Alligator mississippiensis: one gene and its partner. Each later gene encodes a partner of the first gene's protein in a complex. Links are inferred from orthologs where the notes say so. Each region holds a gene or a part of one and is shown in the gene's direction. Other genes may lie near its edges.

Evidence for each region.
Region 2: the proteins of DLC1 (region 1) and TNS2 are in contact, whole or in part, in an NMR structure (PDB 2LOZ), measured with the Homo sapiens proteins. The link is inferred for Alligator mississippiensis from reciprocal best matches to the Homo sapiens genes DLC1 and TNS2. Residues at the interface, in NP_001335010.1 of Homo sapiens: Glu811, Asp812, His813, Lys814, Pro815, Gly816, Thr817, Phe818, Pro819, Ala821, Leu822, Thr823, Asn824; in NP_736610.2 of Homo sapiens: Asp1268, Leu1269, Leu1270, Arg1271, Gln1272, Gly1273, Ala1274, Ala1275, Cys1276, Lys1317, Ser1319, Ala1320, Gln1321, Thr1324, Leu1387, Asp1388, Pro1389, Asp1390, Gln1391, Val1403, Leu1404, Leu1405, Gly1406.

Annotation. Positions count from the first base shown.
Region 1 is NC_081825.1:62,126,244-62,133,576, reverse strand, and holds the start of DLC1 (rho GTPase-activating protein 7), read left to right. Parts: upstream 1-4,173; 5' UTR 4,174-4,565; exon of another isoform or gene 4,566-4,579; intron 4,580-7,333. UniProt on the Homo sapiens protein: Functions as a GTPase-activating protein for the small GTPases RHOA, RHOB, RHOC and CDC42, terminating their downstream signaling.
Region 2 is NC_081838.1:9,353,207-9,361,319, reverse strand, and holds the start of TNS2 (tensin-2), read left to right. Parts: upstream 1-5,032; 5' UTR 5,033-5,419; coding exon 5,420-5,752; intron 5,753-8,113. UniProt on the Homo sapiens protein: Tyrosine-protein phosphatase which regulates cell motility, proliferation and muscle-response to insulin. Phosphatase activity is mediated by binding to phosphatidylinositol-3,4,5-triphosphate (PtdIns(3,4,5)P3) via the SH2 domain.

The DNA of each region.
Region 1 (7,333 bases):
CTGCATGGATACAATAATACCTGATGTTGTTAATATCATGTGGCTTTTGCTGTTGCAGTGCATATCAAAATGACAACTCATGTGGTTACCGGATCTCTTGATATACTATCTCTAAATTTGATGTCTGCTGTTTGAGAGGTTATGCATGTTGTATTTACCCCTAACATAAAAGCAGTGGCTTTGCGTTTGACATTTCAGCCCCTCTGAGAGATCCAAAATATTATTTTTGTGTAATCACATAGCACTTGCTTTCTCCTTAGAGGCTCCAAGGTAGAGTAGCTACTGAGCCAGTTAGTCTACATAGTCTTCTGACCTTTCTAAAATCATTCTTCTTTTATTACAGCCCCACGTGAATAACTTTAATAGCTCACAAGTGATACCAAAGAATTCTACCCACATTTTATTTATTTCTGAAATCCTCCATAAGATATTTCTATTTTTAAACTATTTCCAAAATTTAATGATTAATGTCCTACACAATACTTTGTGAATAAACATAACGATAATAAAAATATAGCATCTTAGTACTGAAAAGTCGTTTATCCAAAATACTTTATCCAAAGTTACCTAACCAGAATTTAGGTGACTTGTATACATATTAGAAGGGTTTGTTTATATTACTTAGCTCTCAAAAAGGGGTGCTGGACTGGCAATTTTGAAAATACTTTTGGGTTATTTGTGGAATGGGTATCATAGACATTAGCAGTGCAAGTTGATGATGGGCCTTAAATGTAACCAAGAAAGATAGCATCTAGGGATGAGCTGTACTTCATCCTCCAAGGACTAAAAGTGCCAACAGGTAGCTTTCATGATGTGGACACTTTACCCTGATTTGATACAACCAGGACTGGAAATATTTTAAAAAAGGACTAGTTATTAGATATATAAAATTCTTTGAGTCCACCTTCCAGGCATATCTCACAGTTTAAAATGTAAAACAGACCTTTAAAAAAGTTGAATTTAAAAAAATGTAGTCTGTTATTTTGAAGGATTGTGCCATCTATATATTCTTGTTGCAAGTGAGTTGAAGAGCAAGTAAGTTAACTTTATGTGATAGAGTCATATTAAATAATAACATGTAGGAGAGAGTTTATATTGCCTTCTCTGTACATTAGCATGGGTATGGCTGAATAGCAGGCCTAGACTCTAACTACCTACAAAAGTATTAGTATTTGCTAAGATGCTTTATGTAAAACTATACATTCACAGTTATAAGTAGTATACATAGGGCATGACAACATGTTGCTGTACAGCGACATTGTTACTGTTTAGTAGTTAGTATATATTAATGCTGTTGTAATATATTTCCACATATTTACTTTCTCCTTATGTATGAAATCGTACAATTTTTATATAGCGTATTTACATGTATATAGTACTGAAAAACAAAAAGAACATGTTTCCATGGAAAAATAATAGTTTATTGAATGTGAAACCTCCCAATGGAATATCTTGACTTCTGACAAAATTTTGCCTTAGGAAAAGAAATTGAGAAAAAATATTTTGATTAGGCTGAAATTCTATCTTGCAACCTTTCTGAGGGAGAATATTTTGTTTTTTTCATTTTGAAAATTATAATTAAACAGTAAAGAATAAATGCAGGGCATTTGAAATGTCTTTGTTTTCACTCTCATTCAGAACTAAGCAAATTTCAAAATAATGGATTTTCTGCAAAACAGAAATTTTGGTTTTAGCATAAGTCTTTCTCATCATTCATTCATTGAACTATAAAATGAAAATCCTCCAGAAAAATATTAAGTATCACCCCAGTGTATTGTGCTTTAGTGCTAGAGTTTGCCTTTGAATAAACAATTTAGCTGAAATAGTTACATTTACAAGTTGCAAGATTGCAGTGTATTTAATTCACATCTGAGTATTATTATTGTTTCATTTTATATATTTCTAAGATCTTCATCTTCATAGTAATGGGGAACCTGATTAGGTGAATTAGTTATTCAACCTTAAGTTATGCATGCCTTTCTCCACATGCACAACATCTGCTGACAATAATGGATCAACTTTTAAAAAGAGGCTTTAGTCCAGCCTCCATTTGTGCATGTATAACTTTGCAAGCCCAGATTCAAGACTTAATACCACAATTTCAGGGCTTGAAAATGCACATATAAAATTACACTCATAGGAATGAAGACCACATTTTGCAAAATTTAACACAAAACTTTCCACATGTTGAGGATCTAAGGCTTAGTAAATTAGGGCCAGATAGGTCCATATTAGGTGATAGCTGAGAACAACTTTATACATTTGGCAGAATCCACCATCTTTTGTTGCACAAATGCCAGTTGGAGATTCATCCTAAAAAGAGTAGCCTTGCAGAATTTCTTAAGAAAGTTAATGGATCAACTGCTAGGTACAATGTCTGCCATTGTTCTATCAGTACATACCTTGTTCTAAATTTTAGAGAACCACAAAGTGAAGCCAAAAACAGAATTTTCCCTAGTTGTTCAGATACTACTGTGAGTAAAGCAGGTAGTTTGTTTTATGATTTAAGTTGGAAGTTATCTCCATGACTTTGCACTTTTTCTTGCATCTACAGGACACCAAACACTACAATTAATTGGATCAGTAAGAACCCAATTCATTTAAGTCAGGTACAGACACTACACTTTTACCAGTATAAGTGGTTGGAAACCAGTCTATACCCATAACAGAACAGACGTTTGGCACACAGACTGGTTTAAAAATGGCAGAAAGCATCTAAGATTTGCCCCCCACCAAAAGGTGAATGTGTGTTCCGTTCATTGCTGATTTAAACTACACCGCTTACAGAAAACCACTTGATTCCACCTTGAACTTTTCGAGTGTCTGTACTTACCCTTAGTCTTAAATAACTATAAAATGTTTTTTAGCATGCGATAAATGGATGAACAAAAAGAAAATGCTGTGCAACTTATATAATTAAACTCAGCAAAAACCCTTCCTTCCCTTTTTAATAAACAAAGAAAAAAAGAAGTTAGTTTGGGTCCATCCTGTAGTTTGGTGACACACAAGAGCATCCTTCCCATGTGCCTTGCTTAACCGTACTAAATGATGTGGGAATATTTCCATTATTCTGCCTAAAAATGACCCCTACAGGCTTAATGTTGTGTGGGGGTGTGGGTTTGAGTGTTAGTAATGTGTGTCGTGTGAATAGTTAACATTTATTATTAATTGATACACAAATTAAAGCCATACTGGTGATTTCCATTAGCTTACTCTCCAACTTCTACAGAGCTGTCTGTCTGGTTTTAATCAAAACCAAATGGTAATCCAAGTTCCCAGGCTGGAGCAACTAAGAGGAAATCATTCAGAGGAGGCAGAAGAAAGCAGAAAAGATAAACAGATGATAGTTTCACAAAACTTGTGTAGAACGTAGGATGTAGATGCTGTGGACTGTTCTAGAGACGTGATTCAGGCACCCTGTCAAACTGGAAAGTAGTTACAACTGTTTTATGTCAGCAAAATTCTAATATGATCAAGATGGAGTCTGTCCTTTTGCAAAGCTGGATTTGTGTGACACTGGAGGATTCTCAATAGAGGTAAAGCAGCATGTACCACTGCCTGTGCTATAAGAACTTTTAAACTGTAATGACATTAATGTCTCATGATCCAACTGAATTTCATCAGTAAAAATATGTTTTCACTATGAACTATATCTATAGAATTCTGTGTGTTTCATGTTTCAAAGTGCACTGGGAATGTAAATGTGATGTATTATTATATGTAAGCCAACTTGCTCTTTGCTCATTTCTTGCTCTGAAGTGCAAAAGAGCAAAGGAACATTCAAAGACATTCTCCTGTCTTTGAGGATGGTAGTTCAGTTTCATATGCATGGTATATTCTTGCAGAATATTTTTGGTAAATCAGCCATACTTTTAAATTATGTAACGACATCATAAATCTCCTAAATAGTTTGAGTTGTCTCTGATGTCTGCTAAATCACAGATCTTGAAACACTATTTGTTGTCTTTTTTTTTCTTTTTTCCCTCCACTATGCAGTCTCTCTCTTGCTCTCTCTCTTGCTCACTCGCACACGCGCACACACCCACACACACATGCGCGCACGCACACACACACACACACACACGCTACTCAAAGGCAGGAAATACTTTTCAGGCAATCTGGGCCTGGTTGTTGAGGCCCCTTTCACAAAACATCAGTCTGAATTTAGTAGACACAAGTCACTGGGAAAGGCTTGACAGAATTCTGCTTAGTTAAGGCTCCCTCCAGCTGCAGAGGGTGTTTTTGTTAGAATCACACATTGAGCAAAACTGCTTAGAATAGAGCAATGATCTCAGCAACGAAATCTGAACTTCTGTGCTAGCAGAAACTAACTGGGAACTAATCTTTTTTTTTTTCTTTAATGACCTTTTTTTTTATGGAGGTAATGTCCGAGGTCCACCCTCTCTTCATGTAGTTACGGAAGTCTTGGGATCTTAGAGGTTTTATAAACAACAAAAATAAAGATGATTTGAAAAATGAGGAAGTTTTCTGTAACTGGTTAAGCTGAATGTCAGTAAGCTGCATTGGAGCTTTCTACGTTCTGGATCTCAGCAGTAACACTGGAGGTAAAATATTCACAGTAAGTGGTAGACTGTATGCTAGCTATGTTTATCAAAATATTCCAGGTCTAAAACAAAATCTGCTTGTGCACTTTATTTCTGTCTTTAAAAAATATAAATGATATGCTGAACCCTGTTTATTTGCACTGTAATATAAATAGAACTGCCTGGTCTTACTTGCATATTTTTTAATGTCCATAAAATATGAAAACTAGAAGTGTGAATGATTTCTTTTTTCACCTCATTTGCCATTAAGGAGGGCATCTAGAGCTACAGTGGCTTTTTTCCCTTAGTACTGATGCAGTGAAGCAAAGCTTTGGGTAGGTTATATCACTTGGTCTTGGTTTCTACAGCTCTTCGCAAGAGCTTAGCTTCAGTCCATATGTTAGATGTTGAAAAAATCTTTAAAATATTCTTTAAAGTGTAAATTCTAAATGTAAAATTTCAGGGCATATTCCCTAACAGGTCTGTAGGTTCCATCAACCAAAATAGCAGAATTAAAAATAACTTAATGCACCTGGATAAATTGTTTTCTATGTGATATGTTATTTAAAAAGGAAGAAAGGTAAGATTCAGTAAATGTCAAGTGATCACAGTTTTGAAGAAATATGAATCTCATAACTTTTAAAAAATATTTCTGGTGACATTTAGCAGTTCAAAGTTATAAAGATGATTTGTGAAGTATTTCAGAGAGAATTCAGGATATTGCATAAAATGGATACAGCATAAATGTATGTACCATTTAGTTTATATAAAGTGAATGACTAAATGATTAAAGTGTCATGAACACTGGAAAGCATATTCGATAGTGTACTATATGATAAATATTCCCTTTTATCTTTCTGTATTTCCATAATGACAGTTGTTACACCGAAGTAATATGAGAGATATTTTTTCCTGCTTCTGTGCATCATTAAAACTCCATAGTTATTGGCCAATTAGGTAACTAAACATGAGTCATCTTTTCAAATATGTTGGGGATAAGCATGAGAACATTTAACTGGATTTTTACTGAATATAGTTTCAGAATAAGGGGCTTGAAGTTTCTTATTATATGACCAAAAGGAGAGCAAAGGTGCAAAAATGACTCCAGCAGGGGTTCAAATCTCACCTTGTCAGGGCATTGGCAGCCATACTCCAAGTATTCCCAACTCTATAAAACAGAAGAAGACCTTCGGTTCAAACACCTACATGGTTCTTTTGTGTTTTTAAGGTATGGTGAACAAGGTAAAGCAAGACTGGCAGTAAGTGAAAGGCAGTTATGTATTCCCCTCAAGATCCATGGATTTCTGGGGAGAATTAATGTAGAAATTACTGCTGTCTCTATTGACAGTACCTTCTCCATCTAGGACTCAAAGTGAGAACTGCATAGCCATAATGGACAGCTAAGGTGGAATTAAAGGCTCAGGAGAAATATGCTAAGAGAGAAGCTCAGCATGACTCTTGTGGAATATGAGTGGGGACCTGATATCCCAGGAGATCTCTAGCCTTGATGCTTTTGCAAGAATACGCTACATTCCCTTTAGCATCAAGCGCCTTTTCCAGCCTTGACCCTGCAAGTATTTAACATTTCACAGTAGCCCCTGGAACAAGCTAAATGTTTGAAAGGCAACAACAGAACGCTATGTCAAAAAGGGCTAATTGTGTGTGGTGCTGATCAACTTCTGAAAAAAAGCTTAACCAATGTGTTTTTGTGGACCTCACTGTAATGTAAAGGTACTCAACACAAGTGACAAAATAAGAGGAAAAAGATGAGTTTTGCCATTTTGACTGTGATGGTTTTATGGGCTAATAGCAACTGTAATACAAAGTGACTAGCTGTCCTTGATTTCACTTAGGAAGAGGGTTTTTTTTTTAATTCTTAAGATAGATCATTGTGGCTACTCAATTTCAGTTTTGTGACAAATCTTTTCTAGTTAGTCTGCCGTCTATATTTTAATAACCAAATGAAACCTAATCATTGAACTTGGCTTAATACAGCAGTATTCAAAATGTTTAATTCAGAATTTGAGAAAAGCCAAATATAAATTTATCTGAAAAAGTTGCAGAAGTTATAAAAAGGTTCTTTTTTGCTCAGAAAGAATATTCTCTATTTTAATTGTAACTGTCCTGGTTCCATTTATATGTTCATTGTATGCTAGGAAAAATCTTCAAAGAAATTAAAAGATAAGTTTTGATTTGCAAGTGAAGTGCCCCCTACCTCCTCCCCCCCTTGAAATAAGTGTTGCAAAGAATATTCGTAATAATACAGGAGTGAGGAGGCAAATTTTGAACACCTTAATCACATGGAATCAGAGTATCAGCATTGTCGGGGTACGTACTTGAGGGATGGTCCCATGTTACTCCTATAGCAGAGCAGGTTACATAGTATAGTAAGATTTTAGGTAAATGACATTAATCTACTTTTTTCCATTGGCTAGAAAGACAACATTGCAGCATGTGCTCATATATTGATCTACAATGAATAAAGAATTCACAAAATAGATGTTATATTAGAAAAACATTATTGGCCTTTTTAGCTCCCAAAAAATTGTGTACACAAATAATTCCATGCTATAGAATTCAGCATTTTAGTAAAAAACTTTTACCGGGGAGTGAAATGATTAGATACTCTTGAACATCAACATTTTTGAGAGGCAAAAGAGTTGTGGCTCTTTTAGAAGTATGGTCTATAATATTTCAATAAAAATGAATAAGATATTTGAATGTATTTCATAATATGTTATGTTATTTGTTTCTATTGATGCTTTTAGAGACTGTTTATATAAGTGTAG
Region 2 (8,113 bases), on another chromosome or scaffold:
GGGGATCGATACAAAGAGCCCTGCGCTCCCCGTACTGCTCGGACATCCAGCTGCGACCTCAGTGAATCCAGATGTGGGGCAGGAAGAGGATTCCCATTGTGCACAGAGGGATGACATCATCTCCCGAGTCCACCTGGAAGGTCCTGCAGGTCTAGTCAAGAAGCAAGGGGCGGTGATACCTGGCTCAAAGCGGTGATGTCCTAAATGGGAAGTGGCATCATCCCATTCACCTGCGGGCACCGCGGGGTTCCCACGGACGGCCAACGGTGCTGGATGATGGATATGATGTAACCGTCGGATGACAAAGCCCCCAGGATTCCTTCGGTGATGTCACACCATGGAGGGACGATGTCACTTGGCTCCACTTGTGATCTCGCTTCAGGGCAGAACAAACGAGGACCCCTGCGATTCCCCTGCCCACATGCTGGCATTGAGGCCTCAAGGAAGAAGGGCCCAGAGGGTTGTACAACATCCTCCAACAGCAGCACAAAGAAGGGGCTATTTTTAAGGCTGAACTTTGGATGATCTTGACCCCAACATCCCCCATCCCCCCCCAGCCCTGCCATCACCCCCAGCATTGCAGCCGTCACCCCAGTGCCCCCACCCTATCCATCCATGACGCAGCCGGGGTTGGGGCGTAGGCTCTGTGCCAGGGGACACTAGGGCCAGGCCCTGGCATGAACCTCTGAGGGAAAACTGGGGGCAATGAGTGACAAGCCCAAGGGGCCAGGGAAGGGCAGTGGCAGGGCTGGGGACAGCAGCCTAGCTTCCTATGTGCGCATGCATACATGCACGCACACATCAATGCACATGCACGCACACATAAAGACACATGCACACCACTCATGCACTTGCATACATGCCCATGGGCACACAAGAAGACAGGCAGGTACATGAGCACACATACATGCACACATGTGTGTGCACACGCACACGGACACACACACACACATCACCACAGAACAACACCGCAGCCGATGTGGGAGCGGGAATGTGTTTCTAATTATCCCCTTCCCGCCACTGGATTTAGGCTCTCCTCCCCCTTCCCGTCCACACCTCCTTCCGCCGGGGTCTGAACCCCCCGGGGCTGGGGCTCCCTCCCCATCACCCCCCAGTCCCGGGCTCCCTTCTCCACCTGCTCCAGGGGCCCGAGCCGGGTGAGATCCCGGCTCCTGCTGGCACTGCCAAGTTTGCTCTGGCACAGAGGGAACTATGATTAAGCCATGTGTGCGTGTGCGTGTACGTGTGCGTATGTGTGTGTGTGTATGTGTGCGCGCGCACGTGTGTGTGTGTGTATGCCAAAGCCAAGGGGGGGCTGTGGGGGAGTGGAGCAGGAGGTGGAGTTTGCAAGATCCAGAGGAAAAAAACAGTGCGGAGGAAGAAGGCAGCGTGGGGCTGCGTCCGCGGGGGAGACTGCATGGGCCGGGGGGCAGGCGCCCGCTGCTGGGACCGTGGCTGCTGTCAGGGGCCCCCAGCGCCCGGGACCCGCACGAGCCACGGCCGGATGCAGCTGCCCAAGGTGCGATGCCTGTGGGGTCGGGGCAGGGGGCAGGGAGCAGGCCAGGAGAGCCCCATGGTGGGCAGGGGCATGGGGGGTGGCAGGGCCAGAGCGGAGTATCGTGGGGGGGGTGATGGCAGGGGGGTCAGGGCCTGGCAGAAGATGTTTTGCAAACGGCGTCACAACCGGGCGCTGGAGCAGGGAGCTGGAGCCAGGCGCCGGGTGACAACCCTGCCAGCTCCCGCGCTCACTTAACCTCGCACTGCCCGGAGCCCTGGTGGCAGCCAGCTCCCGGAGCCTTCCTGACCCCGGCTCTCCCGCCCTGGAGCATGAGGATGGCACCCCCCTCCCCCAGGTGTGTTCCCGTGGAGATGCCCAATTGGGTGCCTGCCCATCATGACCCAGGAAGCATCCCAGCTGCTGGGGGGGCTCATCCTGGGGGTGCCCAGACAGGGCCTGCTCTGCCCCCCACCTCTCAGGCCTCCTCCGCAGCCCTGCCCCTGCCCCCCAGCAGCCTTGATCCCGAACCAGCACAGGAAACGCTTTACATTTTTTTCGGTTCAAGCCTGGTTCAGGGAGTCCCGAGGTCCGGGCGCAGCGTGAAAGGGCCCGGGGGCAGCAGGATGGGGCAAGGCTTCCCGGGCCCACGGCGCTGGCAGGCGGCAAGCGGGTTTTGGCAGAGGCGTCCACACCCAGAGCCAGCGGAGGGGTTGCCAGGACACGTGGGCCTGCACCCCCGTTCCCTGGCTGCCCCTGCTGTGGCTTCCTGGGACAGTGCCCAGGTGGCCGGATGGCGAGCTCTGTGTGGCACGCAGTGCCGGGCACTGGGCCCCCTGGGCGGGGAAGGGGGTCCCTTGGGCTGCAGCTGGATCTGCGCAGGGGGCGGGAGCTGTGCCACCTCCTGGGTTTATTGCTGTTGGGGCCTGCTAGAGCACACCCCTGCCCTGCCCACTGAGGGGTTAATGAAGCCTCCTGCAATTAGCCAAAGGTAATTAAAGTAATTCTGTGGTGCAATGGGCCAAATGCCACCACCAAGCGGGGGAGCAGGAGAGTGGGGGGGCCGAGTCTTGCCAGAGCCGAGCCGCCCAGGCCTGCAGCTTCCTGGGCCGTGGGTTCGAATCCCGCACAGCTGCTCCAGTGTCGGGTGCAGGGCGCTGGGTTCTGGGGTCCCCAGCTCCCGGGGGGGGGGGTCGTAGCCCAGCTGAGACCGGACAGACTCGTCACACCGGGGACCCTCCTTGCCCAGCCCCAGGGATTTAAAACCCAGGAGTCCTGCCTCCCCCACGCCCCCAAGGCCAGGCCACAGGGGGGCGCCCCCAGAGCTCTCCATCCCCCATGGAGAATTTGCCCCTGAGGGGGGCAGATCCTGCCCCCAGGCCTGGGGTGGGAGAGGTGCCAGCAAGGTGCTGCAGGGGGGCAGGATGGAGCCCCCCGCCCAGCTGAGCACTGTCCTATTAACCCTTTCAGCTCGGGGGTGGGGGGCCAGGCAGACCTCTGACATTAACCCTTTCTTGCTCCTGGCTGCCCCGCCCCACGCAGAGGGGGTTAACCCTTTCTGTGCCCCAGGGCTGGGACTGGGAGGGAGGGGCACCCCTGGGATTAACCCTTTCCGCTCTGTGGGGGGGCACGAACCCCTCCTGGTACCCCAGTAGCTGGGCTGGGGGTGCCCCCCCTCGCCCCCAGGTTAACCCCTTCAGCTCTGCAGGGAGACTCCCACCCCTTGGAGATTAACCCCTTCTGCTCATTGGAGGGGGGGGTGTCTCAGACCTTAACCGCCCCCCCCCCCACCCCGCATTAACCCTTTCAGCCCTGGGGGGGTCTAAAACCTCAACCCCCCCCTCCAGATGATCCCCCTCTGATCCCCAGGGTTTAACCCCTTCTGCCCGGGGATCCCAGGGCTCTCCCCGATTAACCCCTTCTGCCCCGGAGCCGGGCGACCCACCCCCTGGCCCGGGCTTAACCCCTTGTGCCCCGGGGCGGAGGGGGCGGGCTGCCCCCTCATTAACCCCTGGCGCTCCGGGCGGAGCAGCCGCGGCCCCGCCCCGCAGGAAGCCGGCCCGGGGCGGGGGTGAGGGCGGCGGCCGCGGACCCGGAGCCGGCGCCGGAGCCATGAAGGTACCGCGGGGCCGATCCGGAGTCGCTCCGCGCTCCGTTTCCACGCCGGGGCGGGGCAGGCACAGCCGCGGGGCGGGGGGGAGGCTCCCGCCAGCCCATAATAACCCCGGTGCTTCCAGGCGTTGCCGTGGAGACCCCTCCCCCCCGGGCTGGGCGCTGCTGCGGCCGTGGGAACGGGGCCGCTCCGGATTGGACCGGGAGGGGGGGGGTTCGTGTGACAGGGCAGTCGTGCAACACGGTCTCGTGTGACAAGGCTCATGTGCCAGGGCGTCGTGCAAGGGTCTTGTGTGACAGCACTCGTGCAACAGGCTCATGTGACAGGGTCTCGTGTGGCGGCACTCGTGCGACGGGCTCGTGTGCCAGGGCGTCGCGCAATGGGCTTTCATGGGACGGCACTTGTGCAACAGGCTTGTGACAGGGTCTCGTGCAACAGGGCCTCGAGTGGCGGCCCTCGTGCGACGGGCTCGTGTGGCGGCACTCGTGTGACGGGCTCGTGTGGCGGCACTCGTGTGACGGGCTCGTGTGCCAGGGCGTCGCGCAATGGGCTTTCATGGGACGGCACTTGTGCAACAGGCTTGTGACAGGGTCTCGTGCAACAGGGTCTCGAGTGGCGGCCCTCGTGCAACGGGCTCGTGTGACAGGGTCTGGTGCGATGGCACTCGCGCGATGGTCTCGTACCACGGGGCGCTCGTGCGGCAGGGCCTTGTAGGACAGGGGCCTCGTGCAACAGGCCTGGAGGGACAGGGGCTTGCACGCGGCAGCCCCAGGGGGCCGGGGGCTGCACTGCCCGGGACCCCCTGCGGAGGCCTGGCCCTGGCTCCAGAAGAGGGGCGGGAGCTGGGAGAGGCTAGGCTGCTTTTCTAGCCCTGAGCAGGGGGGAGTCACTGCAGGGGGAAGCACAGCCCGAATATTAGCAGCATTACGGTGCCCCAGGACCCGCCCTGGGATGTGGGGGGCCACAGCAGGGACCTCGCCCTGGCCCCCCAGGCTGGCTGGAGCGGGCTGCTCTGCTCCTGGGGGGCCTGGGGTGCTCTGTAGGGGTGCATGGGCTGGGGGCTCAAGGATGGCCCCGGGGGTGCGAGCCGTGGTTGTGCAGCTCCTGGCGCGCAGCGGGGTGCCCCAGACCCCCGGAGGTTCCCGGCCTGTATCCACCCCTCGGATCGGAGCCAGAGCAGGGGCTGGGGCCAGGCCTGGTGCGGGGCGGGGGCACCAAGTGCCTGGAAAGTCCCTGGCCCAGGCAAGGCGCGTCCCAGCCCGAGGTCCTGGCGAGGACACGGAGGAGGACAGGGAGGCAGCAAAGCAGGGGCCAGGTTGGGGGCAGGCAGGGAATGTGTGTGTGTGGGGGGGGGGGCACGTGTGCGTGCCCAAGTGCGGGGGCTGTGTGTGTTTGGAGCTGGGGGAGGCTGCGTGTGTCACAGCAGGTGTGTGGGAGGCCGTATGGGGCAGCGCTGCATGCGATGCGGCCACACACGTGTGCAGGTCCGGGCCAGCTTGCACGTGTGGTGGCTGCCTGCACACATGTGCATGTGCACACGTCCTTGTGCCCCCCTGTGCACCGGCCTCTCCCTGCTGAGAGCTGATGTCAGCGCGCGCGGCCAGCCCCCACCCTGCCCCGTCCCTGGCAGGCCCCGGCGCTGACGCCAACCCGAGGTCCAGCCCCGGGAGTGGGCCGGAGCCGAGCTGCATCCTGCCTGGCTCAGGGCCGATGCTGGCGGTGTCATCGGTGTCACGAACCCCTCAGGGCTCAGCCTGCCCTCTCCCCTGGCTCCTCGGGCTCCCTTGGCCTGCCTGGGTCCCCTGTGGGGCATGCAGCCTGCCTGGGCCAGCCCCAGGCCACTGCAGACCCCGGACCCTGGCAGGCCCTGGGCCATGGCAATGACCTCAGCACCACGGGAAGGAGCTATTGTGCGTCAGGAAGCCCCGTCCTGCCGCAGGCCGGCCCTGCCTCATTGTTTCCAGCTGCACGTCCGATCCCACGGGCAAGCAGGCGCTGGCCAGCAGGACCCCGCTCCTGTGCTGACAGGGCGAGGGGCTGCCCAGGCCAGCCACAGTCGGGCCATGAAGCCGCGGGACACGCTGGACGTGCTGTTTCGGGTGCTGGGGCGGAGGGGCAGTGCCCGGGCGCCAGGCACGTGCAGGGTAGGTGTGACCCCCGCCCAGCTCTGCTCGGGGAGGGTCAGAGTTTCCCCTGGGAGCAGGGGTGGTCCAGGACAGCGGACCCCTGGGGATCTGGGGGCCAGGCGCAGAGTGGGTCCCCGTGGGAGGTGCCAGGGATGGGTCTGACCCGGTTCCCAGGCTCGGCTGGACTAGAGGGGCCATGTGCCCTTGTCCCAGACTCACTGCACAGTGCCGAGCGCGAGGGGCTCCTGCCAAGTGACTTGGGAGCTGCCTCTGAGTGCCAAGGCTGTACCTGGGGGTGGGGGCAGAGGGGTGGGAGTCGAGCCTCTGTCCTGCCCAGGTGTGCAATGAGCTACCTAATCTCAGCCCAGGTCCTGGCTCTGCATGCGTGTGTGCGCGTGCATGCATGTCTTCATGCCTGTGCCTGGGTATGTGCACAGCATGTGTATGTCTGCACGTGTCACATCTGTGCAGGGGCATGCACTTCTGCCTGCATGCATGTGCATGCCTGCATGCATGTTTGTATGCATCTGTGTGCACATCTGCATGTCTACCCATGTCTGCCTGCCTGTGTCTGTGCGTGCATGTGCATCTGCATGTGCACAGGTGTGTGTGCATGTGTGGGTGCGCATGCCTACGTGTGTGTGTGTACATCTGTGTGTGTGCGTGTGCATCTGCGTGCATGTGTGTGTGAGCATGTTTGTGTGCATGTATGTCTGTATACATGTATGTGTCTGTGCGAGTGCATGTCTGCATCTGAGCCAGGGCAGGAGAACCCAGGAGTAAAATCCCCCATGGGGGTCCCATGTGCAGTGTGTGAGGCAGGGCAGGGCCTGGCGGGCTCGGGGCTGACTCGTGCCTGCAGCAGGCAGGGCAGAGGGTGCAGAGAGCAGAGGAGAGGATGCCCAGGTGCCCTCAGTGCCCGCACTCGGCCCCAGCCTGTCCCCTCTCGCTTCCTGCACTGGGAACACAGCGTCCAGCTGTCAGGGAGACTCCCATCCCGCTGTCACGGGGGCGTGGGAACAGCCCCCGCCCTGCCCGGGCCATGCTGAGGTCTCCGGGCCAGCACGGGGCTGGCGTTGACCAGGTTGGCATCTCCCCCATTGCTGCCCGCCCCATCCCTTCTCTTGCCCTTTCCATCCCACCCTCCGTATCTCTGCCCACTTTCCTCTCTCCCACAACCCCCCCCCCGCCATTTCCCCAGCTGCCAGCTCAGCCCCTCACAGGGGTCCCAGAGCAGGAGCCCCCCATGTCATGGCCCAGCTGGCAGGGGCGGGCACGGTGCCTGGGGCACGCGCACAATAGCGGGCACTGACACGCCGCGGTGGGACGGAGCCAGTGAGTAAACATGTTGTTCTGCTGCCCGGGCCTAGCCGTGGGAGGGGGGGGCGGGCACTGGCAAGGGCTGTGCCATGGCGCAGATTCCTGGGACTCCAATGGCAGGACTCAACCCCAGCCCGGCCGGCTCCTGGAGCCCCCCTGGCACACCAGGGCACAAGGCGCCAGCCCCCTCCCCGTTCGGGATGCCGGTAAGAGGTGAGGCGAGGCGGGAGCTGCACTCTGTCCGCCAGCCGTGGCCGGGGCTCAGGGCCCTGCTTGCCTGGCTCGCCTGTGCATGCAAGGGGAGTGTGCAAGGGCAGGTGCCAGAGGGGCATGTGCATGCATAAGGCATCGGTGTGTACTCAGGAGAGCGAGCGTGTCCACACTTGTGCGCACTGGTGCATGCGTGCATGGCACCTTTACTTCAGGGGTGGGTGTGAGTTCATGTGTGCACCGGGCTCCCCGTGGCCCGGCTGTTCCACTGTGGCTGGCCGTGCCCCGGCTTGGGAGGGCTGAGGCTGTCCCAGCCCATCACCGGGGTGTCAGGTCTGGGACTGGGGGGGCTCCCTGCTGTTGGCAGCCCCCCACTTCCATCCTCAGCCCCCCGCCCCGCGCCCCAATCCTGCCCTGCAGCACAGATACTCGTGTTCTCCGCCGGCTGCAACAAAGGGACCGATTCATGGCTATTTATAGCTGGGCCGGCGCGTGAAAGGCGCCCATTCAGCCTGGCCCAGACAGGGCAGCTTTCACTGCCGAGGCCCCTGCCCCAGACTACATCTCCCAGGAGCCCCCTCCTTGCCGGGTGTCCCCAGGCCCTGCCTTATTCATTCCAGGTGTGGATGGAAGTTGGGGGACGCGGGTCCTGGCTGGAGCCCTTGCCCCAACGCTGGCCGTGAGCGTGGCTAGCAGAGCGGGGGCCTGGCTAGCAGGCAATGTGGGTCTGGGGGCAGCGTCATGGGGGCACAACCCTAGCTGGTTCCTCATACCCTAGGCGATGTGTTCAGGAGAGGGGTCATGCCCAGGGTCACCCGGCAGGTCAGTGCCAGAGCTGAGGATAAAACC